Linked DNA regions of Caenorhabditis elegans. The protein of the gene in region 1 purifies or fractionates together with the protein of each later gene. This does not show direct contact. Each region holds a gene or a part of one and is shown in the gene's direction. Other genes may lie near its edges.

The links.
Region 2: the proteins of gst-1 (region 1) and fah-1 fractionate together in Caenorhabditis elegans (co-fractionation; one large-scale study listed by BioGRID). This does not show direct contact.
Region 3: the proteins of gst-1 (region 1) and ndk-1 fractionate together in Caenorhabditis elegans (co-fractionation; one large-scale study listed by BioGRID). This does not show direct contact.
Region 4: the proteins of gst-1 (region 1) and dbd-2 fractionate together in Caenorhabditis elegans (co-fractionation; one large-scale study listed by BioGRID). This does not show direct contact.

What each region holds. Positions count from the first base shown.
Region 1 is NC_003281.10:9,056,568-9,062,585, forward strand, and holds gst-1 (Glutathione S-transferase P), read left to right. Parts: upstream 1-2,763; 5' UTR 2,764-2,789; coding exon 2,790-2,924; intron 2,925-2,978; coding exon 2,979-3,066; intron 3,067-3,114; coding exon 3,115-3,518; 3' UTR 3,519-3,614; downstream 3,615-6,018. Other genes in the region: cls-2 (TOG domain-containing protein), read left to right, coding at 1-129, 177-560, 605-988, 1,214-1,654, 1,697-1,825, 1,877-2,059; lin-12 (lin-12/Notch intracellular domain), read right to left, coding at 3,835-3,957, 4,345-4,692, 5,003-6,018. UniProt on the Caenorhabditis elegans protein: Conjugation of reduced glutathione to a wide number of exogenous and endogenous hydrophobic electrophiles. Prevents dopaminergic CEP neuron degeneration in response to Mn(2+).
Region 2 is NC_003284.9:6,444,845-6,452,183, reverse strand, and holds fah-1 (Fumarylacetoacetase), read left to right. Parts: upstream 1-3,267; 5' UTR 3,268-3,275; coding exon 3,276-3,359; intron 3,360-3,411; coding exon 3,412-3,638; intron 3,639-4,131; coding exon 4,132-4,376; intron 4,377-4,422; coding exon 4,423-4,578; intron 4,579-4,703; coding exon 4,704-4,957; intron 4,958-5,061; coding exon 5,062-5,352; 3' UTR 5,353-5,438; downstream 5,439-7,339. Other genes in the region: Zinc metalloproteinase nas-33, read left to right, coding at 1-85, 132-220, 270-373; K10C2.6 (Serpentine Receptor, class BC (Class B-like)), read right to left, coding at 402-743; grl-6 (Ground-like domain-containing protein), read left to right, coding at 1,245-1,274, 1,323-1,480, 1,527-1,755, 1,800-1,922, 1,966-2,148; asp-14 (Peptidase A1 domain-containing protein), read left to right, coding at 5,578-5,674, 6,490-6,618, 6,884-7,020, 7,067-7,339. UniProt on the Caenorhabditis elegans protein: Fumarylacetoacetase involved in the tyrosine degradation pathway.
Region 3 is NC_003279.8:10,551,539-10,557,213, reverse strand, and holds ndk-1 (Nucleoside diphosphate kinase), read left to right. Parts: upstream 1-3,300; 5' UTR 3,301-3,419; coding exon 3,420-3,472; intron 3,473-3,553; coding exon 3,554-3,647; intron 3,648-3,705; coding exon 3,706-4,020; 3' UTR 4,021-4,095; downstream 4,096-5,675. Other genes in the region: cert-1 (Ceramide transfer protein), read right to left, coding at 1-346, 395-492, 698-853, 1,236-1,424, 1,471-1,785, 2,154-2,273, 2,324-2,489, 2,564-2,577; F25H2.4 (MPN domain-containing protein), read right to left, coding at 4,289-4,457, 4,508-4,806, 5,113-5,235.
Region 4 is NC_003280.10:4,559,823-4,565,600, forward strand, and holds dbd-2 (DB domain-containing protein), read left to right. Parts: upstream 1-3,127; 5' UTR 3,128-3,128; coding exon 3,129-3,281; intron 3,282-3,370; coding exon 3,371-3,628; 3' UTR 3,629-3,638; downstream 3,639-5,778. Other genes in the region: M03A1.8 (ascorbate ferrireductase (transmembrane)), read left to right, coding at 585-776, 934-1,074, 1,118-1,545, 1,601-1,680, 1,725-1,888, 2,504-2,647.

The sequences.
Region 1 (6,018 bases):
TCTGCAAATGAGAAGCGAGAAGGAATTAAAATGCTTGCAGGCATTGTTTCGGAGCCAAATCTCAGCAACGCCGAAATCAAAAGCCTGGGCGCGGTTCTTAACAGATTGCTCGGAGAATCCACGAACCAGGTAGAACATTTTAATTTAATAATTTTTATTGCAACATTTTATTTCAGATTGTGCTGGAATCAATCAGTTCGTTTGTCAAAACCCATCATCCCCGTCTCAGTGATTGGCTCAAGCTTGGCCTTGGAAAGCTGTTTGCAAAGAAAGGAGCAGAGATGACGTTGAACAGTAAGAAGCAAATTTCCACAACCATCAGCTGTATTCTGTCATCGTTTGATCCAACCCTGCAATTGAAATCAACATGCGAGCTGGTGTGCGATCCAATTCATCTAATGTCCCCGAAGAGTCGCGTGGTCCTTCTTGAATATCTCAATGAACTTCTTGGGAAGTATATGGAGCGAGGATCGTCGTTCAACACTAAAGAGATGAAGGCCACCATTCTCAAGATGTTTTCGTGGATGGCAGATCAGAGGAATGAACAGTTGATCACCCCGGTAATTATAGCTCTCTCTTTATTTTAGCAATATGCATTTTTCAGCATGGCGAGAAAGTACTCTGCTCACTCTTCGCATTGAACAACGCCGACTTCTCTGCACTTTTCAACGACTTCAACCCCGACTATCGCGATTGGGCATACAAAGTTCTTCAGTCTCACGGACATGATCAACACGTTCCACAACAAGATGCTGTTTCTGAAGAGGCCTGTGTGCGAGCCACGATTTCTACTACAGCTGCGCAGATAGAAGATTTCGTCGTGTCGAGGAATCTTGATATGACTCCAGTAAAATCGCCTAGCACAAGAGCCATTTCGTCGGGTTTCAAACGAGTCGATGCGGAACCACTTCGTCCTCTGTCTTCGGAAATGAATTCACAGCACAGAGACGAGGAACTCAGCTTCAATGAGTCATTCGACCGATTAAAGGTATTTAACAGCATTATATTTAAAAGAAAATGGTTTTAAATGACAAGTGGTCAGAGGATTTCGAACCCCCCCCCCCCCCCCCCTCTTTCTTCGTTTCAGTGGCCACGTAAGGCGCGTAGTTCAGCAAAGTATATTTTTCGTAGACGTTAAAAATCATTTCTACATTTTGGCTCAATAATGACCGTCAGTTTCATCCTCCTATTCTTTCTTCAAATTATTTTTCAGCTCAACTCAACAACGCATCTTATTGACGATACGTCGGAGCAGAGCAAGTACGTGGCGTCGAAGCTGGCCCAGATCTCTGGTGACATGGGAGCTCAGCAATACGAAGGACTTTTGTCGATCCAGACAATGTTGTGTGAAGGCTCATTCACTCTTTGGGAGCAAAACTTCGCCAAGCTGTTGATCGCTGTCTTCGATGTGCTCTCCAAAAGCGAATCAGACGCCAACAAGAAAGTAGCTCTGCGCGTTTTGACAAAGATGTGCACTTCGCAAGCATCGCGCTTGTTCGACTCTACGGAAATGGCCATCTGTAAAGTTTTGGATGCTGCTGTCAACTCACAAGACGGAACGATGAACGTGACCGCTGATGACTGCTTGAAAACGCTGGCAACCCACCTTCCACTGGCTAAGGTGGTTAACATCTCGCAGCTCATTTTGAATGAGGTAAGTTCAAGAATTTTTACATTTAGGTAATCTGTTTGTCAGTATTTGCAGGAGAAAGCTCAAGAACCCAAAGCAAGCTTGGTTCTGAAAATGATGACCAGATTGTTTGAAGGTCTCCAAGCCGACGAATTGAGCCCAGTGGTTGATGATTTGGCGCCATGTGTGATCAAGGTAACTATTTATCAAACATCGCAATTCATTAATGAAATTTTTACTTTGCAGTCTTACGATTCCCCATCGTCTGCAGTTCGGAAAACTGCTGTCTACTGTCTGGTCGCGATGGTGAACAAGTTGGGAATGAAGACAATGGAGCCACATCTTCAAAATCTGTCGTCTGGAAAGCTGAACCTTGTCCAAGTCTACGTCAATCGGGCAATGTCGTCCAGTTCACATTCGCACGTATGATTCGTCGTTGCAATGTAGCCCATAATTCCCCCGTATTCGTATCCCAAATTTCCCCCGTAAAACCTTATCGTCCCTTTTCTCTCATCCCTTCACTTTGTAATATAATTTTATTTGTCAAGAGCGGGTATTGCACACTTTCTCTATGCTCCTTTTAGCATAATTTCCCCCGACTTATGTCCCTTATGATTTTCGACCCCCGTATTTCTTATTTTTATTTTTATATATTTTCTTTTCTTATTTATTTTTTATATGAATATTTCTTAAATTTATTTCTTGTGTATAAGTTGAAAACCGTTTTTTCGTTCAGGCCAATATATATCTGGAACAATAGGTAAAAAACTTTCGGTATTCAATTAGCCATCACGTTTTGTTGACAGTAATCTCGTTTCAGTGTTTTTTCTGATCTGCTACCGGCGCCAAGACTAAACTATTGTTAATTTTCTAGAAACTTCTCTGGCATTTCAACGTCATCCAGAACAATTGTAATCATCTTAACAACTTTTTGTCATCATTTTCGTGCTGGCCACGTTGTCTTTCTCTTTCATTCCAGTGCTCTCTCTTGCTTGTTTCGTCTAGCACCCCTAGTACCTCCACGAACTATAAAAGCCGTTCTATTTGTCCACTTCTCACATTCGATTTCTTTTCTTAATTCTCTCTTGAAAACAAAAAAAACCAGTTTCCACATTTCAAGTGTTTGTTTTCAGTCAGTATTCACTCAACTTCGTTCAATATGACCCTCAAGCTCACGTACTTCGACATCCACGGACTCGCTGAGCCAATCCGTCTTCTTCTCGCGGACAAGCAAGTTGCCTACGAGGATCATCGTGTAACCTATGAACAATGGGCTGATATTAAACCAAAGATGGTGAGTTATTGTTTTCAAAGTTTTATTTATTTTTATTAAATGATTATTTTTCAGATCTTCGGCCAGGTTCCATGTCTTCTATCCGGAGACGAGGAGATTGTTCAATCTGGAGCTATCATCCGTCATCTCGCTCGTCTTAATGGTAACCATTTAAATGTTTTCTTCCGGTATCTTATAAAACAATTTTCAGGGCTCAATGGCTCCAACGAGACAGAGACAACTTTCATCGACATGTTCTACGAAGGACTTCGTGATTTGCACACCAAGTACACCACTATGATCTACAGAAACTACGAAGACGGCAAGGCTCCGTACATCAAGGACGTTCTTCCAGGAGAGCTCGCTCGTCTGGAGAAGCTTTTCCATACCTACAAGAACGGAGAGCACTACGTTATTGGAGACAAGGAAAGCTATGCGGATTATGTGCTGTTCGAGGAGCTCGACATTCATTTGATTCTCACACCAAATGCTCTTGATGGTGTTCCAGCACTCAAGAAGTTCCACGAGAGATTCGCTGAGCGTCCAAACATCAAGGCATATCTCAACAAGAGAGCTGCTATCAACCCACCAGTAAATGGAAATGGAAAACAATAAGCTAATTCAATTTTTTCTCATTTTGCAATCATCAAAAATTCCAGTTTGATATAATTTATTGTCTTCCTTAAAGCTTCCAATGAATCTCTGCTTCCCATACATCGTTTCAGTCGTTCGTGGAGCCAATACTCGGAAAATTATTCACTAATTTTTATTAATGTAACATTCAACAAAACATTTCAACCCGTAAGCCCATATACAATCAAGAAATGCAACAAAAAAAAGAACATCAAGTCTTATGCAAAATTTAGATGGAAACCCGTATAGCTCTAGAAAATAAGGAATTTAAATAATAAATGACGATTGTTCAGAAGATTCAAAAATAATGAGCTGGTTCGGAGTATCGCGTCATTGGTTCATTCTGCATTTGGGTGTACGATGTTGAAGCTCTTGTATACCACATTTCGCCATTTCCAAATGCTCCACATTGTGGTTGGAACTGAAAGTAACGTTATTTTAATTTATGTACGTTATATTTGAACTTTGTATATTACACATACGCGTAAAACGGTCTTGGCACGACAAATTTCTATTGAATGCGAAAAGGTGTGCGCCTTTAAAGATTACTGTAATTTCAAACATTTGTTGCTGCGGAATTTCCTTGTTACATTTATGTGATTTTATTGTTGTCCAGACTTTTAAACCATAACACTTATTTAGATTGGAAAGACTTAAAAATCCGCAAAAACACAAGATTCGAACTACAGTATTCTTAAAAGGCGCACGTTCTATTTAACAAAACTTTGTCGTGTCGAGACCGGGTACCGTATTTTTAATTGCAAAATTACATTGTTTCCCGTCTGTTCAGTTGAAGCTTAAAACTAACCGCTTCTGAGCTTCCAGCTTCAGTTTGATATTCTGGGCTCAAATAGTTCAAACTCGTCGGTGTAGTATGAGTGGTATTCATAAAATGCTGTGGTGACGGTGTTGACGTTGATCCATCCGATGGTGGAGGTGTCAGATGAGTTGAGTCTCGAGAATTGGAAGCTGACTCTTTTTTGCTTCGACTTGTCTGTTTCTTCGGAGCTCGAGTTACTTTTCTTGAAGGTTGTGGTTGATGGGTATGTTGGATGTGAAGATCCATTGAATATTCTCGTTCTGGACGACATCTATCAAAAATATCAACAATATTGTGATGGTTATTTGCTTGAGCGAGTTGACGAGCCGTATGATCCTGGAAAATTTTTAGATTAAATTGATTTTTTATATACTTCGAAACGCGTAATTTATAGGCGCAAGCATTTTTCAACCACGAAATAAGTATTAAATTCGAGTTCTCTGTCAAATTCTACCTCTAAAAAGCGTTTAAAACATGGGTTTCACCACGAAAGTTTCAAGGGTTACTGTAGCGAAAAAATTCAAAATTGAACCTCAGAAAAAAACTATCCGACGTGGAGCTTGACGAGGAGTTCGTCAAGCTAGTTTTCTGATAGATATTCCCTTTTCGCCTTTAAATTCGGTAGAATACCAAAAACAATACTCACCGTAGCATCAACCGCTTCAACACTAGCCCCTTGCTGAATCAAATACATCACAACTTCAATACGTCCTTCCTGTGCAGCTAACATAATCGGCGTCTTTCCATCTTCATCTTGCTTATCCTTATTGGATCCTTTCTCTCCAACCAAATACTTCACAATTGGCATATTACTCACTTGGGCAGCATAGTGAAGTGCCGTTCTGCCTTTATACTTTTCTGAATCTTTTCTCGCAGCTCCATCATAATCAACTTTTGCTCCTTTTTCAACGAGTAACTTTGCAGATGCAACTTGATCTCTTCCCTCATTATGTGCTACAATCATCAGGGCTGTCATTCCGTTTCTATCAAGTTCTTCGATATCTCCCTTCAATTTTGTACTATTCAACATGTAGACCATCATTCCAAAATCTCGATTTGCAGCCGCTTGATGAAGAGCACTTCGTTCAGATTTATTGTAGATGGTTGGATCGGCTCCAGCTTTCATCAGATAAGCCACAAGCCGTCGTCTTCTTGCAAGAACAGCCAGCATCAATGGGGTGTTCTCGTCGCAATCCATAGCATTCACATCGGCTCCTGCCGCAATACATTCTTTAGCTTCATGTACAATCAAATCTTCTGACTTTTCGGCTGAGGAATTCGATGCAATCCAATGCAAAACCGTTCTATTGTGCCTTGGATCAATAATATTCACGGATTCCCTAGTAATAGGCTCAGTAATTGCATAGCTTCCTGCAGCTTCTGTGTGTAGTTTGATGGGGCTTTCAGGTTCAGGTTCAGTTGGAATTTGAAGATTGGTATGGTTGAAATCACCAAGGAAATCATTTCCATTCCCGTATCCTTGAGGATTTGGATACAAGGAATAGTGTTGCAGTTCATTTCTTTGCCTTTTGATATAACCATCATAAGAAGCTTCCAGAAGTGAATGCTGACTTGAAGTTATTGATTGATGGTTTTTCCGATTCTTCTCCTCATTCTCCATAGGTGGCATCCAGACAGAGGCGTTGATCATTCGACGTTTCC
Region 2 (7,339 bases), on another chromosome or scaffold:
GGTCCGGTTGGACAAGATGCTCTGAAAATTGTGGTTCTTGTGGTACTCAGTATAGAGAAAGATGTACAAGTACAACGAATTGCTTGTAAGCTTTAAAAAGTCCTAATTAATTTAACAGTTTTTTTTTCCAGAAGATCAGCTAAACAAACAAGAGTCTGTAATACTCAGCCATGTGCACAAGGAACCACCAGGGGAAAACGCAGTGTTCTTCAAACTCAGAGTAAGAACTAGGAACTGAAAAATTTAAATTGATAACTTCCGAAATTCAGTCTCACATCGTGTAAAACGTCTCAATGGGTGGTGTTGTGCCAGATTTGTTCTTTCAAGAGGTGTCTGTGTTCCAGTGAGAACAGGGGTGACGCATCCGAACTGAATAAGAAAAATAGAAGGAGAAGCGGAATCTAGTTTGAATCATAACATCTATGACCTTCAGATAACTGTCTAAGGATCATCCTTAAAGGATGTGCAAATAAAGTGAATTTGAATGCTTCGCTCTTCAGAGAATTTTCGAATTGAAACCAAAATACAAAGTTCGCAAAGGTCGAATAAAAAATGTTCAAAATTATCTTTGAGAATATGGAACACAGTTTTATAGACGCAACAGTTAATATTTCCGAAAAAGACACCGAATTTGTAAAATTCAAAAAAATTTCAAAATTCTTATGATATGTTTCGAAAAAGAAATATGGAAATTCGGGACTAAAAGAAATGCAAAGATAATTGGAAACAAAAAAGATGTACATGTTCACAGAAAAATCATCACGTTTTTTTTTTCAAATAAGAAATGTATCTTAAACCAAATGTTTTAATTCACACAACAGAGCCCGACGGGTGGAACATACTTTTAACCACAAACAGTTTGTGGCTAAAACTGTGCTGATTGGAAAAACTATTAATGAATCACTTTCAAATTTGCCCGCACTAATATAATTGTCAATTGCAAAAATGCTCGTTTTACATCATCGTGATTTTGTTTTAAAAAACTTAACGTCGTACTTTTTTAAAGAATGGTAATATTCAACCTTCAACTTTTTGCATTTTAATAATTCTTTCCATTTTTCCCGTACTTGAAACATTGAGAACACAATATGATTCAATATCGAAAAGCTTCTAAAGGTCACAGCATCTTCTTGAAACTCAGAATTTCCCCCAAAAAACCAGTTGCACGTGCGAAGTAGTATAAATATCCGCGTGTGTGGTCGGAAACCATAGCTTCTTCCACTTCCATTCCATATTTGCGCAATATGAGTACTTTGTCGGTTGCAGTTTTCTTGGTAAGCAATGAATCATCGAATATCTCTTTTACTCATTCGGATTTTCAGATTTCATTTCATTTTGCCTTTGCTCAGTACCCATTTGGTAGAGGAGGGTGTGGAGGATGCCCGACTCCAATGTGCCAACCAAGAATGCCATGTGCTGCACCGATGCCAATGCCGATGCCAATGCCAGTCTGTCCTCCACCTCCACCATGCCCGGCTCAGTAAGTTTCAGCAATAAACCTAGAATATTCACATGCTTGTTCACAGATTCTGTCCACCACCACCAATTTGTCCTCCGCCTCCACCACCGCCAATGCCATGCCCTCCACCACCTCCACCAATGCCGAGACCATCTTGCCCGTGTATGATGCAACGACCATCGTTCTACCCATCATATGTTCCCCAGTACTATCAGCCAATGATGCCTCAGCCAATGCCAACAGCTGGAGGATGTGGAGGTGGTGCAGTTGTACCATCAGTCAGAATTCCAGCTCAGGTTGGTAGATTTTTGAAAGAACCTTTAAGAAAATATCATTTCAGAACGATTGTTGCTGTGGCTGCTCATCGCCATGCAAGTACAAAAGTGTGAGACGCGCCGCATTTGCAGCCAAAACAATCGACCCTTCGTGTAACAGTTCCGAACTGAAAAACATTATCCTTGATGTGAGTACACTCGTTTTGCACGTCAAGCCTACTCTCTTTTCAGAATATTAGCGAAGATGCAAGTGAATCAAAGAGGAACATTCAGAAAATTGCCGAAGAAACACTAGGCCATGAGGTGAACGTTATTTGTGGTACAGGAGAATTCAGTTACATAGCTCATACCGATACATTCTGCCAAGCATTTAAGGAAGATGTCACCTGTTATGCATTCAAACCATTGCAATAAACTTATTTGGTGTTTTTTTTTTGTCTGTATTTCCTGCTTTTTCTGTCCACTACTGGCTTCAATAAATTAATTTTTTGAAAGTTTTTAATTCAATTTGATTTCGTAAAAGCAAAATCCAACAAGATATAAAAAGTTTGAAACTAACACTTATACTCAACGACAGTAGAGAAAGTGTTAATTCAATAGTTCATCGCTGTTGGTGTTTGTATTTTCAAAATGTTTAACCTTAAAAAATGTTTCTTGTGTATTACAACCCTTTATTATAGAAATAAATTATTTTTATATTTTTTTGACCATTTCACTCGCCGTACCTGTTTATCAATTACCGATAATATTTAACAATACAACTCACCTTTAAGTTACAACTTTTGACCTGCTCAGCAGGCTGTGGTGATCTGAAATCTACAGGTTAAAAACCTACATCCGATTGTGAAACGTTTTCTCTACTCGAAATGGTGGTAAGAGTTTTCTAAGATACAAATTGCTAGAGACCGTTTTTCTTCTGATATAAAAAGCGTTTTAGTAGCAATTTATCTTCATGGAATTGAGATTTCTATATTATAAACATAAGCAACTCTAAAAAACACTAGTTCTCCACTCTTTAAAATCGTCATACTCCTACTTGCTTTTTATTCATGAAACAGTATCATTGCCAATGCAAACAAACAACTATAGAATAATGCCATCCAAACATTCAAGAAAAAATCATCACGTGACTGTTTCGCAATTCAATTTGCATCCAATGTAGTTTTCTCTCTCTTGTCAAAACTTATCTGATATACTCTATTGTTTTATCCAATTGACGTCACTATCATCATCTTATCTTTTCAATTAGATTTGTGAGACCTTATATAGCGGTTTCAGTGGTGCACATCTGTCATTGTCACTGTCTGTGTGCAGTCATTTTTTTTGGTTATCGTTTTGTTTTTATTGGTGGTCGTTTAGTCGTGTATCGACCTTGGCCTATGCGTGTACGACTCCTTTTTGTATTTGTCACTAGCACCCTCTCCAACCTGTATGCTATTTTCTGTTTCAACGCCGCATGCGTGTACAGTTTCGGAGACATAACAGACTGCTGTCTACTCAACTCCATTTTTCAAAACTTGTATTGCTTTGCAGGCTAAATCATGAAATCCTTCGTTTCTGTTCCTCAAAACTCGGATTTCCCAATTCAAAACTTACCGTATGGTGTTTTCTCAACAAAGGCTGACGTAAGTGTATAAATAATTATTTCTAAAGCAAAATTAAACTAAATATTTTCAGTCTTCCCGCCACATTGGAGTTGCAATTGGAGATCAAATCCTCAACTTGGCAGAAATTGCCAATCTTTTTGACGGACCTCAATTGAAGGCACATCAGGATGTTTTCAAGCAGAGCACATTGAACGCGTTCATGGCACTGCCACGTCCAGCCTGGTTGGAAGCTCGTGCAAGAATCCAACAACTGCTCTCAGAGGATTGTGCTGTTCTTAGGGATAACGCTCATTTGAGGTGAATAAGTTGGCAAAACAAATTTGAAAAAGTTAAAAAGTAGTACAAAGTGTGTCTGATAATCTACTAACCAAATCTAAACAACTATTTCACAAGTTTTAATTTTTATCGTTAGTTTATAATTGCAAAGTTGAATCAATACTGTGCAGCAAGTTGGCAAGTTGAAATGTATATAGAAGTATGTGAAAATGTTCGGTCAATCTGAAAAAAATTATTTTATTGAGAACGCCTGGAAACCCGTCAAAGTTTTTGAAATACTTCATTTGACTTTAAATATATCGTTAAACTTTGTTGGCGACTTGTAGGCATTATTTTTAAAAAAATCTATTTCAAAATCGAGAAAAACCTACATTTTTATATTAATTTTTGATTTATAAATTGAAATCTCATACTGTAATTAGAAGCTTTGTACGTTTTGCGCACAACTTACATATAACTCTGTTTAAAACAACCAAGAAACTTTGTAATAATATTCTTATGTTTTTATTTACAGAAGCCGGGCTCTTGTCGCTCAATCCGATGCTACAATGCACCTTCCAGCTCAAATCGGAGATTACACCGATTTCTACTCCTCCATCCATCACGCCACCAACGTCGGAATCATGTTCCGTGGAAAGGAAAATGCTCTGATGCCAAACTGGAAGTGGCTTCCGGTCGGATACCACGGAAGAGCTTCATCAATCGTTGTATCTGGAACAGACTTGAAAAGACCAGTTGGACAAACTAAGGCCCCAGATGGTAAGATTTAGATTTGCACCAATAATGCAAATGTGTCCGCTTTCAGCTGAGGTTCCATCGTTTGGTCCATCAAAGCTTATGGACTTTGAGCTCGAGATGGCGTTCTTTGTGGGAGGTCCAGAAAATGAATTGGGAACTCGTGTTCCAATCGAGAAGGCTGAGGATCGTATCTTTGGAGTTGTGCTCATGAACGACTGGAGTGGTGAGTAACGATGTTAATTAAATATCAAACAAAAACATTTAAACTCGACATTTTGGTGACAAGAAAATTCAACAGTAGTTATTTTCAAGTTTGCTCCATACTCATCCGAAAAAAAACTTTTCCAGCTCGCGATATCCAAGCTTGGGAATACGTTCCACTCGGCCCATTCCTTGCTAAATCCTTTGCCACAACTGTTTCTCCATGGGTCGTCTCAATTGAAGCTCTTCGTCCATACTTTGTTGAGAATCCAGTACAAGATCCAGTTCCACCAGCATATCTCCATCACGATGACCCATTTACCCTTGACATCAATTTGGCCGTCAGTATCCGTCCAGAAGGAGATGCTGTGGACCATATTGTCTGTAAAACTAACTTCAAGGTATGTTCAAGTTTAGTAGAAACGATATTATCTACACTGTTCACTGTAAATTGGATCATAAACGCTCGTTAAGGTTTTCTCAACTACAATACTGTAATTTCTAGCATTTGTATTGGACTCTAAAACAACAACTTGCTCACCACACCGTCAATGGATGCAACCTCCGCGCTGGAGATCTTTTGGGATCAGGAACTGTATCTGGACCAGAAGAAGGTGCATATGGATCCATGCTCGAGCTTTCGTGGCGCGGAGCCAAAGAAGTTCCAGTTGGCTCAGAAATCCGAAAGTTCTTAAAGGACGGAGATGAGGTCAACCTTTCTGGAGTTTGTGAAAAGAATGGAGTCAGAATTGGTTTCGGAGAGTGCCGCGGAAAAGTCCTGCCAGCCGATATCTAAAATCATCGTAATTAAATCGTTTTGCTTTTTGTTTCATTCTCTCGTTTGTTAGTAGTATCTCGTCGAATAAAGTTCTGAAGCCCACGAAAAGTGATGAAAGTGGAAGTGTGCAGTGTCGAAAATGATAGGGGTTTGTCACGATTTTTTGGTTTCTATGTTATCAGTTCAAAGCATGAGCGAATAAATAGGAGAGCTGGTTGCTTGGAAATCATTCTCAGTTCAATCATGATCAAGACAATCTTGCTTTTGGCCTTTGTGGCCTCGACCTCAGCTTTTGTGATTCCTTTCAAAGTTCATGCTGCAGTTACCAACATTACCAAAGGTGAGTATGAGAATTTACAGATTTGTTTCAGATAAAGTGAAATTTGGTGTTTGTAAATGGAAGCCTTTACAAAATTTAAAATGAACATTTAAGCATTATTTTTGATTTTTTTTTTGAATTATTTTCCGAAGCGTATAAAAATTTCGATCACGTTTGATTGAACATGAACATTTAATGGTACATTAACGTTATATTTTATTCAAAATAGGGATAGACACGTAACTGGGAGTAATAATAGTGGAGAGCGGTAAGTTGTTTTAAGAGCACGTATATATATATCCCGAAGCCACATAAAATGTACAGTGAATGAACAAACATTATTTCCTTTACGACATTGAGTAGAATGTATTTAACTTAGAATAAAGCTTATAACTTACAAACACAATGTTGCGGTTGATTTCCAATTATATATTGGTTGTTTTGAGAATTATGAACTGAAACTTGTGTGGTATGATTTTTCCATCATTTCCAACTATTTGAAAACATTTTATATCAACTTTTAGAAAAAAACTTTTTTTTTTTGATTTTTTTGGAATTTTTAAAAAGGGGTATTTTGGCACTTTCAAAATGTCGTAACTTGATCAAACCTGCTCTGAAGCAGCTAAATTTTTGGAGTGATCATCTGTAACTATTCTCTATCGAATGTATATAGTGGCGTAACGAAGTCCGATAACGAGTTCAGAGCCTTCCCTTGTTAGGAATAATGGTTTTCTAAATCTATTACATTCCACTAGTGAATTGTTTTGTACTGAAAATTACTTTTGGTATATAATACACAAGTTCCTTAGATTTTCAAAACTGAAGTTTAATTCCAGGAGGACAAACTCTGGAGCAAACCTCAACCTTCTTCGTTGCTAACTTGACCATGGGAACACCAGGACAACTTTTCACTGTTGTCATTGACACTTCGACCGCTGACATTGTTATTCCAGATATGAGTTGCAGTGAGTTTCAACCAATCGCTTTCTTGATTGCAATTTGATAGTTTTACGACTTTTAAATGTATAAAACATCTCGAACATAATCACGAAATGATGACAGTTTTTGTCAGCTTTTGCTGACAATTTGCCCTATTATATCGGCACTAAAATCGTTTTTTATGTTGATTATCGGTCAAAGACTATCACTTAGTGCACATAACATTCCTAATTTTGAAAACTCCACACTACTGATAAGAGTGAAAAAGATACAAACTGGAAAATGTTTCAGAGACCGCAAATAATTGCTACAACAAGAGAAGATTCAACCAAGCAAAGTCGTCGTCTTACTATGCATATGGAAATAAGTACACGTACAAGAATAATCTTGGAACTTTCCAAGGATTTGATGCAAAAGACACTGTTGTGGTAATACTTTCAATTTGTTTTTTAAGTCCTAACAATTTTTTTCCAGATCGGAGACCGCAAAACTGATTTGATCACCATTCCAGGCGTGAAGTTTATGCAAGCTACCGACCTCGGACTTTTGATGGATGGATTGGGTGCTGATGGAATTTTGGGATTGGGATTCACAGCCTCATCGCAAATCGGTGGAAACTCACCATTCGTTCAAGGTGTTAACGCTGGAGACATTTCGGGCACATTCTACTCCATCTGGCTCGAGCACTTCAACCAAACTGATGATCTCGGAACCCACGGAGTTATTTACTACGGAGGATTTGATCCA
Region 3 (5,675 bases), on another chromosome or scaffold:
ATCCCTCTTGTGCTCATCAACTCGTCGAATGTGTGAAACGAATAATGATTCTCTCGGTGCAGCAGGCCAAACTGTTTTATGTTTCTGATGTAGAACCACAGAATCCGGTGAAATGTGCTCAACAACGCTCATCGCTTCCAGCGTATGGTCCCATTGCATTTTATACCGTGCATCATAGAAATAATGCATGAATTCCAGTGCAGTGACACCATCAACTGCATGTATCGCCTTTAATGGATCAACAGGAACACCTCCTTCATCTTCAATTTGTCTTGTATACATTCTCATTGGACCGTCTTCAGCGAACAGACTCCATACATTATCCTCAGCACCGGCAAGAGCATATCTAGAAATATTGAGAATTTGAAAATGATTTTTAAAACGATAAACTTACTTGAGCTGTTCTAGAGCGAGCTTATCGATTGTGGTGTAAAGAGAGTGTTCTTGGCTCACGAGGAGGTCGTCATAGTGACCAGTAACTGGGTTTCCTTCCTGCAATAGCACATGTTTTAGTAGAGAAATATGGAAAGTTTGGCAAAAACTCTCGTTTCTGCGAATTTTATTTTAATTAATTTTTTATTTATAGATGTATTTATTTAAAACTTATATTAAAATTAAAAGGCGCGTACACTTCTCGCATTTAATAAAAAAGGCGCTAAAAATCGCAAAATTTTGCATCCTTGTAATATGAGCTTACAATTCTGAAGCTAGTCTTCTTTTTCTCTTCCTCTGGAACAACTATATTTCCATTTTTCTTGTCTTCCACCTCTTCTTGTCTTTTTTCAACGGTATCTCCATTTTTCGAGTCCACATCAAACTCGTCGGCGTCAAAGAACTCATCACAATCACTTGTCTGAATGAGAAATATGCAAATTTGCAAGAATTGTAAATTTTAGAAATTGTCTGGCGTATTTTTTGCGATAGATTCATAAATTTTTGATCCGAAATTGATATAAAAAATGTATTTAGAAAATAATTTCTTTAAACTTTAAATTTTGCAGTAAGTTCTGAAAAATGCTCAATAACAGTGCCAAGCTTTCGTTACACTGATCGGGGAGCAAAATGACTTTGAAGCAAGTATAGAGCATTTTTAGAACATTCTAAAACTTATCTGAGAGTTATTTTTTTACTGAAAAATTGATTTAACATAATCTTATAGATAAGAATTAGGATTTTAAAACTTTTTTGGATTTTCTTTTCTCGAAATTAAATTTACATATTAACAAAAAACTCACCACATCAATATCAGGTCTTGCAATAATCGTAGAAGTTGTCATTGTTGAATTATCGTCAGACATGTATTCTTGTTCAACAATAGATTCACGACGAAGAACAGAAGAAGAAACACTTCTAGTTGCACATAAAGGTTCCCGAAATGGTGGTGGAGTGGATGAAGAAGAAGATGGAATGTTTGGTATTACCACCTGAAAATTATTTGATTTAATTCTCAAACTATCAGCAAATTGTTACTTTAGAAGTCTTGACGAGATCCACGATATGATTAATATTAACAATCAATGCTAAATGTGTTGCTTTTACTGATAGAATCGTGGCTTGTGGGACAATACAACTGGCTCCACCTTGTTCCAGAAGTCTTTCGATTGATGTCATCTGATCCTTGCACATAGTTCGGTATGCTTCGAGTTCGGAGAGTTTCGTGGCAAAAAGCTTCGTTGATTCATTATCATCAGATTTTTGATTATTAGTAGCAAGAACTGAGGAAACCGATGGATTACGGGAATGACTTTTAGTGCTAGTCGAGCTATAATCCGAATCGTTTTGTACCTGAAAATTATTGATTTTCCCATTGAAGTTTTAACTTGATTTCTCTGATTCTAAAAGTAGAATTTCGAAGTGAACGATTTTTTATATTTTATAGCCTCGTACTATTCCCGAACTTTCAATTGACTTTTGTGTGCCACCGTCCGTACTATATATTTACACGGGATGACAAAATCAGGTAAAGATCAACAATGGTGTTTTTGATGTAAAAAGGAACATAAGAGAGGTGTTTGAACTATGATCGGAGCATATTTAAACGAAGAATATACAACTTTTTATCTCGTAATTACTCCGAGAGAATCGCTGGGGAAGTAATTTTTTGAAAAAATTATGTTTTAAAAATACCAAATTCAGATTCAGAAAACACTCACTGTTTCCCGGACAACTGATCGCATCCATAGAAGTTTTGACTGTGAATTCTCTGCTTTCAAATACCAGACAACGTTTTCGCCCATAGATATTGAGAATTCGTTTTCATCAAATTCGTGGGCCTAAATTTTTAAATATACAAGAACTTTCTGAGAAATCAATAAAAGCTCACAGCTATTATTGCACTTTTGAGAAATATGCTTCCTCTGCATCCGTGGGATTTTTCGGCTTTTGACAGATAATAAACAAGATTTCCCTCTGTGATTTCAAAGTATCGATCTTGCCATCCATTCACGTAGTTTGTCCATTTTTTCATCACCCCATTCGTGGGAAGGACACTGGAATGAGATAAATTATATTAGAATTTATCATTGAAACAATTTCTGTAATTTAAAATATCTACAAAACTCACACTTCGCTCTCCATCGGCTTCGTTCGCGAATCAGCAGGTGATAAATGATAAGACAGAGGCTCTCTTTCCGAGAGACTTTCCCCGTTTCGATACAGTTTTGCTCTCACTTTGTTCTGCAAACAAAGCTCACGGTTTGGTAGGCAAACAGTTAAATGGTAGTCGATGGCAGAAAAGAAAGAGTATAGACAACCTTACATTTAGTCGATTCTAAACATAGGGCGTCGAAGGTGGCGAATATGGGAGAACCGGTTTCCTTGTACTGCAAATAGTTTTGTGAAGTAGTGTCTGAAACGAAAAAAGAAATTTGCGGAGCCAGGTCATCAAGCATGAAATAAAGTTCGACGCGTAACGAGGCACAATAGTTTAATGGGAATATGCAGAGCGTTTGTGCTTGTTGCATGGAGACACGAAAAGCAGACATAAGTCATAGAACTTGAGACAAAGTGTAATAAACTATTTATGTCACACGCGTTTTTTCAGATATCAAATGCAGCGATTCACTTCTCAATGTGTTTTGACGTTACAGGTGACGTTAAATTCCGATTTTTGTTCAATAATCCCGATGAAATTTCATATGAAGAAAACCAGTTTGACAGAACATAATTCTCGCAAAAGGTTCAATTGGTGTCCAAAAAAATTGGTCGAAAACAGTGGTCAGTAAAGGCGCTCCATTGCAATTCTGGCACAAAGCCAAGAATGCTGCGAGGTCGGGTCTCGCCACGTGCTGAAGTACGGTTACACTCGTTTCATTTGTGTCGGAGTTGATTGAATGGGCGCCGGCGGGTTATTCTTTTCACTTGCGTTCGTCGCTGTCGCCTGTGCTGTTGACACCTGTTCCAAGTTGGATTGTCCGAAAATGAGCAACACTGAGAGAACCTTCATCGCCATCAAGCCTGATGGAGTCCACCGGTTAGTTATCTTTGAAGAAACTTATTCTAGCATCCTCAATGGATTTTAGGATTTTCAAAATCCTAATTTTTTAAATTTCAGTGGTCTCGTCGGAAAGATCATCGCTCGTTTTGAAGAGCGCGGATACAAGCTTGTTGCTCTCAAGCAGATGACCGCCTCCAAGGCCCATCTTGAGGTACGTTTTCACGAAATTACAAAATTTTAGGCCCAACCAGTTAAATTATTATTTTTAGGTTCACTACCAAGACCTCAAGGACAAACCATTCTTCCCATCCCTCATCGAGTACATGAGCTCTGGACCAGTCGTCGCCATGGTCTGGCAAGGACTTGACGTCGTCAAGCAAGGACGTTCCATGCTCGGAGCTACCAACCCACTCGCTTCCGCCCCAGGAACCATCCGCGGAGACTTCTGCATCCAAACCGGACGCAATATCTGCCACGGATCCGATGCCGTTGACTCTGCCAACCGCGAGATTGCTCACTGGTTCAAGCAGGAGGAGATCAACGACTACGCCAGCCCATTCATCAACTCATGGGTCTACGAATAAACTGATTGCTTATGTCTCCCGGTGTTTTCACCGTTTTCGTATCTCTGCTGAATGTTGATAAAGTATTGCTTCCCACCTAAAACATCGTTTTTGTTGACATCTATTCCTGCGCATTCTCTAATGCGTTTTCATGGCAACCAATCCTACACGACTCAGCTGTCATCAAATCTTTTATTCAACCCGAAAACGGAAGGGGATTAAACATATAATATATTCAGATGACTGCAATAAGTTATGAAAACACGAATTAGGATAATAATTTCAGCTTTTAAGCTCTGAATTCCGCCACTTGCACGAGTTTGTTGCTCAGATTTGTGTTATAGAAGTCGAACTCGGGATTGTCCAAATGGTTTTCGAAATCGGAAAGCTCTCGGTACAACTTCTTCTGAATAACAGCTTGAAGGCCACGCAAGAAGTTGGAACCTTGGAAAATCGTTCTGAAATGAATATACTAAATGAATATATAACATCAAATGTTTTTTCCTACTTCGTTTCTTTCCAACTATCTCCATCTTTTTCATATGCCACGAGGCGGTCTTGTTCACAATCTGACACCAGTCTTTCGTTCATCACTTGTACGAGAATCGCTGCCGAAGAGGTAACAGAAGATATTCTGTCGGCGAGTCGAGTGGCATAAACGTTGAGAGAAGTGTCCGATGGAGTTGCATTTGAGAAATAGACGCCGACGAGGGAGGCACCAAACTTTCCATGGACGAGGGCTGTGGCAAGTTCCAGAGGAGGTGCGAGTGGAGTGGATTCATGGCAAAGAGGAACACAACTTGTTACCTGGAAAATAAATTATCAGATAGGATGGCAAATTCATTAAATTAAAACATTTCCCTGACTCAGAAATCTAGTATCGCATAACTCTTCTCAAAACGTAGAAAAGTATTTTTTATGCTCTCTTCAGCAACTGTTCATCATTTTGAGGTGGAGAGCGTAATTATTTTTTCTTGCTTTCAGCTTAGCAATTCTAATATATCGATAATTGGTATTAAAGACGACTGTCTTTGGAGAAAATAAGCGTACCGACATGACGATCAACTAATTTAAAATGTTCGCATTTAATGAATTAAACAAATAAAATTGTACCGTGACTTTGTCTCCTTTCTTGTTTCCAATCAGCAGTCCAAAAACACCCTTTGCCGGGTATTTCAGGCAGTGAAGGATGATTGTCGAGTAGGGGAGAGCCTGTGTTTCGACTTGATGCTTCATCTGCAAATTACTTGAATTTTAGCGAATTTTGTTTATTATTTGAAATCATCTAACAAATTTTAGGTATTCAGGATTGTATTGAACAATAAAAGAAGTTGAATACAGCGGTTTAATGAAAATAAATTAAGAAAAACAGTTATAACGTTGTTCTCTCTCGAAAATCGTCTTTAAAATTGAGTTATATTACATGAATAGATTGTTTTAGGAATAAATAAAATTAAGAAACATTTTAAACTGGAATCAAACCATTAAAACAATAAAAGAATCTCGAACACTCAACAAATATAAACTAAAAATCGTTAATTCCAAAGAGAGCATTTGTATTCTCAATGGAGCGCACTTGCGCAGAAAATTTATCAAATAAAAAAAAGGAGGGAAACAAGAAATTTCAAATGATTTTGATGTTTTTAAAGTTTAATTCGGATAATAATCATAAAATT
Region 4 (5,778 bases), on another chromosome or scaffold:
ATTGGTATCTTTAAAATCAACTGAGATACCTTTAAATGTGGAGCAATTGGGTGCGGTACTAATAGAAAACATGCGGTAAGTTTTTTTTTTGGTAATTAGTATGAATATCTTCAGTCAAATTTTTTTTTAACATTCTAAATTTTCATAAATTATTTCAAAAAATTAACAAAATATATATGAAAACTGAAGTCTCTAGAAAAACTTAAAAATAACCAGACATTGCAAACTCGTGGTCAAAGTTTATTTATGTTAAAAAGTTATTATTAATTTTCATCGCTGTGGTAACCATTGGTTACCAAGAACATGACATCATTTTATTAATGTTTAAAAAACACGTCGATCCGCCTATTTTGATTTTTACCAAAAACTGATTTTCGTAATACCTCCAATAAGTCCCCCCAAAAAATGTACAAGATCAGTGAGATAAGATCAGTGTCACAAACTCTGCGTCTCTTCCTAATCCACCACATTCCAGTTGCTCTCTTCTCCCTTTTGCGTCCGCTGGTCACTTGAAATACCAGTTCGATGATGACATTTCAAATGCCTATTTATACAAAAAGGAGAAAACACAAAGGTAGTGCAAAATGTATCACTACTCTACTCTTTTTCTACTTGCCAGTGGTTTTGTATTTTCTACTGCAAAATGCCCGGCGAATTCATTTTGTTTTTCACCAAGTCGTGTGAATATCACAGTTACTTGCAATAAAAACGATGGATTCATGAGTTTGAAATGGAAAACAGAGGAAAAAAGGTCAGCAGTGAAGATATACAATGGGGTGAGATAATTTATCAACTTTGATTCCTCATTATTTTGGTTTATTTTGGAGATATCGATAAATGTTCAACTACAAACCTACAGAAAATATTTAACGAATCAGTTCAAGACAACTGAGATATGAGATGCCTCTTCTATTGATTTCGTTTTTTTTGCAGGTGAACCTTCTTGAATTTGTTTGCGGATTTCCCATTGGAAGCTCAAATATTGATGTCAAAACCTACAAACTAGAAACTTTGAAATCTGAAAATTTAACGTCGTGTGAGATTGATTTTTATCCGGGGGATGTTCTATTGATGGTAGGTGCCAGAAATATATCCTGTAATAGTTTTAATTTTTCAGAGTGAATCTTCAAGCTTAAAATGGTCCAACGAAAAGTCCGAATTCTTCAATTTCCATGAAATTTGCAATCCGAAAATTGAAGGTCTGAGTAAAGAATTCAAACGATTACTTGTAAAATTACATGCAATTCTAATGATTCTCGGATGGCTTTTCTTTGTTCCAACGGGATTTTTATTTGCAAGATATGGACGGCAAGTGTTCAAAAATCATACAATTTACGGAATGTTCGTATGGTTTCAAATTCATCGAGCCTCAACTTTTATTGGTGTTTGTTGTATTGTAACCTCGATTTTGTGCATTTTAATTTCAACAAATTGGACCTGGAAAGGTACTGGATCTGAAGCATGGTACTGGACACAATGGCACACGGATTTTGGAACGATTTCTACTATTCTGGCATTCTCCCAGCCGTTGAATAGTTTGTTGAGGTAGATTTATTTTTGTAAAAAAATAGCAAAATTTTATACTTTTTATTTATTCCAGATGCCCACCTTCCAACTCACAACGTTCAATTTTTAATTGGGCTCATCGAATTGTTGGCCTTCTCTCCTACACTTTTGCTGGTAAGTTTCCATGACTAGAATTCAAACTTTTTATACAAATTAAGTGGCCGCAATCTACGTGGCTGCCGCCAATTATCGAAAGACATGGTCAGAGCCAACAATGGAAATTGTGCTGACCAGTGTGCCGACCATTTTGTGTATCGCCACAGGATTCGTAGTTTTGTATTTGGAAAGCGAGCAGAGAAATGGGTATAGGGAAGTTGAAATGGTAAGATTTTTCAATTTGCATTTAAAGTTCTAAAGTTGGAATATCCTATGCAATAAGAACATTTCTACGAAGATCATACCATATCATGTTGCGAATCACATGAACCAGCAGTCCGTATGTAGTTTACTCCTACGGGCAATATAGGCCAAATCACTGGAGATTAAATGATTAATTTATTTTTATTTCAATTATTGGCAACAAAAATTGATAATTTAGTATTAAAGAAGTGTGGAAAAGGGGGAAAAGTTTCTAAAAAAGTTAGTGATCCAAAACATAATATCTCATTTGTAAAACTAATAGTTTCGGTAAACAGTGAGAAAAATGAGTTTAAAAATGTTTTAAACTTGAATTCCCGCGCACAAGAAGTTTGAATATTTTTTGAGAATTTTTTTCTTAATTTTCAGAATTTTGTTGAATGTTCAAAGCACCTGAATTGCAATTTTTTGCATCAAATTTGAGAAAAAAAACTAGAATTTTTAAGGTAAAAAGAACATGTTTTATTAAAATTTTCAAGCAAAAAATTCTACAAAAATTAAGACTAACTTTAACGTCACAAATTTTTCAATTCAACATTTGTAACACAAAAAAATGTTCCACAAAAGACACAACTTACAGATCGAAAAATCCGAAAAAAATTCCAAAAAACCGGAGCGTCTTCAACTTATCCAAATCTCATGGATGTTCGCCGTTGTTGGAATCTGCTTCGGTGTCGCCATTTCATTATCTCTTCTGATTGCAAATGGATTCAAAAATGACTAATCACCTCTTTTTCAATGACAACTAATTCTCGTACCAACCACTTTTCTCTTTCTGACCTGACCTGCAATAATCCATTAAACGGCTGTGTGTGTCCTCTTTCTCACTTTATCACCAACTATCTCTTCTAGAAAATAAATATATATTTTCTATATGTTTCTTCTTATAACAGAGTCTATACATTATTACATGCAATTCATCTTTCGCAACATTGACCGGCCTCAAAAAATCCGATAAAAGTACAATGGTGACTGGTGTTCTAGGAAATAGGATTGTTATGATAGGGAGTGATATCTTATCTCTTTTATTATCACAGCCTGACCTCAATATGTCAGAGGTGGAGTCTTCCGGGTGACCCTTTAAATAGTCCGGGCCTTGACACCGATAGGCTGTGTATTCTTCATTTCTTCGATCTTCCACCTGTTGCAGTTTTCTTTTATTTTTCAAAGTTAACATATCTATATTCATAGTAATTAATTCTAGAATGAACCGCTTCGCAATTCTCCTGGCTCTCCCACTTCTTGCTCTTGCTGCTACTCCAAATGAGAAGCTGAAGCTATGCTGTGCCACGTTGAAGGATGCCGATAAGGAGTGCGTCGATCGATTCTGTGACTTCAATGCTCTTTCTCAAGCTAACGTAAGTTGTCTCCTGAGAGCTAGTTGCGCGTCAATTCTGATGTATTTAGTCAGCTTACTAGAAATAACCATTACACGTTCTTATTTCAGATTCTGAACTTCATGTCGACTTGCGGAGAGCGTGGACCAACTGTCGGAGAAATGTGGGATTGTGCTTCCCTCCGTCACAACCACGAGGACTGCTGCAAGAAGGCCGGTGTCTCTGGAGAATGCCTCAAGTACTGTACCGCTCATAAGGGAGCTCCATCCAACTATTTGGACTATGCTTTCTGTACCGAGAACTTCAACGAGATCCGTGATTGCTTCTACAACCATTTGGACAAGAACGAGCCATTCAAGAAGCTCTAAATGGAAATATAATAATTGAAATTTTCTTTATATTATGAAACGTGTATTTAATAATATGGAATAAAGATCAACTTGATGATAAAGTTAACAGTTTTCCAAGCTATTTTGTCTTTTGATTGGCTTGTCCGGAGTTCTGGAATTGCCAGTTCAAAGGCACATGATGTTTTTCCAAGTGGGTCTCGCCACGATCTCAGACATAATTGTCGTTACAGGGCCCAGTTTTCCAGGTGAAATAGAAAATATAGTTTATGAAATTTCAAACTCAAAATTTCCGGTAGAAAGCCCGGATTTAGGACCTAGTTCCATGTTTCCGCAATGTCCTACAAAATTCCCCCATTTTCCAAAACTACAGTAATCATACAGTACTCAATCACTACTTTACCCAAGCTACAGCAACTAACAACATAACTTTCCCAAGTTTCACGTCTCGCCTTCTTTCTCGTATTGTTTTGTTTTGACAATTTGAAGGAAAAAGCTGTTGAGTCGAGTGTTTGTCGGGGCGGCTCACACTGTAGTACAATAAGGCTTCACATGCGCCTACATAGGTAATCGCGTGCACTTAAAACGGAAAGTTGCTCACGGAGAATAAGAGAGATAGAGGCTCGGCTGTTTGTGTTTGATCTACATCTATGAACCTCAAGATGGGCATAACTTCAATATGTTTAGTTTAAAAATTTAACAAAATTAGGTTCGAACTTACTTTTGGACTATCAAATCAGACCTTTGCCATTTTAAGAAAACTGTTTCAATATGTTGAAATATATTTGAAATATATTTTTAAAATATTTGAAAATTGAAATATTTTTGAAATATATTTGTTTCGCAGTTTTCCAAAATTGTCTGAAATATTTTTAAAATCCCTGCCTTTTTTGACTCTGCTTCCAGAAAAGTCTATGAGGAAATTTTGTTAGTAAAAGCTCGTAAATATGTATTTCAACCTACCTCTGACTCAGAACTACTCGGAAGTATGACCCGAATGAGTCAGGAGCTTAAACTTTCACTTTCTTAAGAATCCCTCGAACGATAACCAATTATTTTTCTTCGTCGAAAATTTTAAATATTCTCAAGAAATTAAAACGTGGAGGCCTTCATCAGAAGAAGAAGCACGCAACGCCTTCATTCGAATTTTATTACCAGTTCTCTGTTTCTCCCATATGTTACAAGTTGTGCAGATGTGTGTGCGCACGTTTGGCCCCTAGTAAAATGGTCGTAAAACTACGAAGGAGCAGACGGAAGCTCTCCTGCTGCTGTTGAAGATGATGACGTGGCACTTTAATTTACAATATTGTGTGCTCAGGAGGCTTCATGTTTGACAAGTACAACATCAGCACACTCAAGTTTACCCCATTTCTTTTCAAATGTTTTTGTTGTTTTGATTGGAAATGTCAAAATGGTGATTGGATTTTGGTTTCCAAAAAATATTTGGAATGCGATTTGCTCCATCAAATTATTCAAACCAAAGTGTTTTTAATTATTTTTTTGGTCAAAAATCTATTTTGGACAGCTTTTGGCACTTAAATCGTGTAAACTTCTAACACTAAAAAAAGTTTCTGGAGGTGAAATTGAACGGAAAATGGGAATTGAACCCCAGCCCTCTCCCATGCTAAGGGAGCGCTCTACCACTGAGCTATACCCCCGACGAGTGATTCGGGTGATCAGGGCAAAAAATTTTTCGGTGGCTTATCACTGATACAACCAGATTATGTACCTGGTTGCAGAAGAAAAATATGTACAAGGTCTAAAAAAGTTGAGAAGCATACTACAGTATTCTTTAAAGGCGCACACTTTTCTGCACCCTATTAAAATTTTTCATTCGTCTCAAGACCATGTACCGTAGTTTTGCGTAAAAATTACATGATTTTGCGGCCATCGCAGTTTCTTCTTATCAGTGATAAGCTATCAAAAAAATTTTTGCCCTGGCCACCCGAATCACTCGTCGGGGGTATAGCTCAGTGGTAGAGCGCTCCCTTAGCATGGGAGAGGGCTGGGGTTCAATTCCCCATACCTCCAAGAATTTTTTAGCGTTTGGTCACAAAACTTTCTTATTTTGTCTAGCGTTCACTAGAAAAAAAGAAAGTGCCGAAAAAACTTCTATCATCAAAATTGTAAACCGTTTTCTTAAACTTTCACCCACCATTAAACCGTAAATC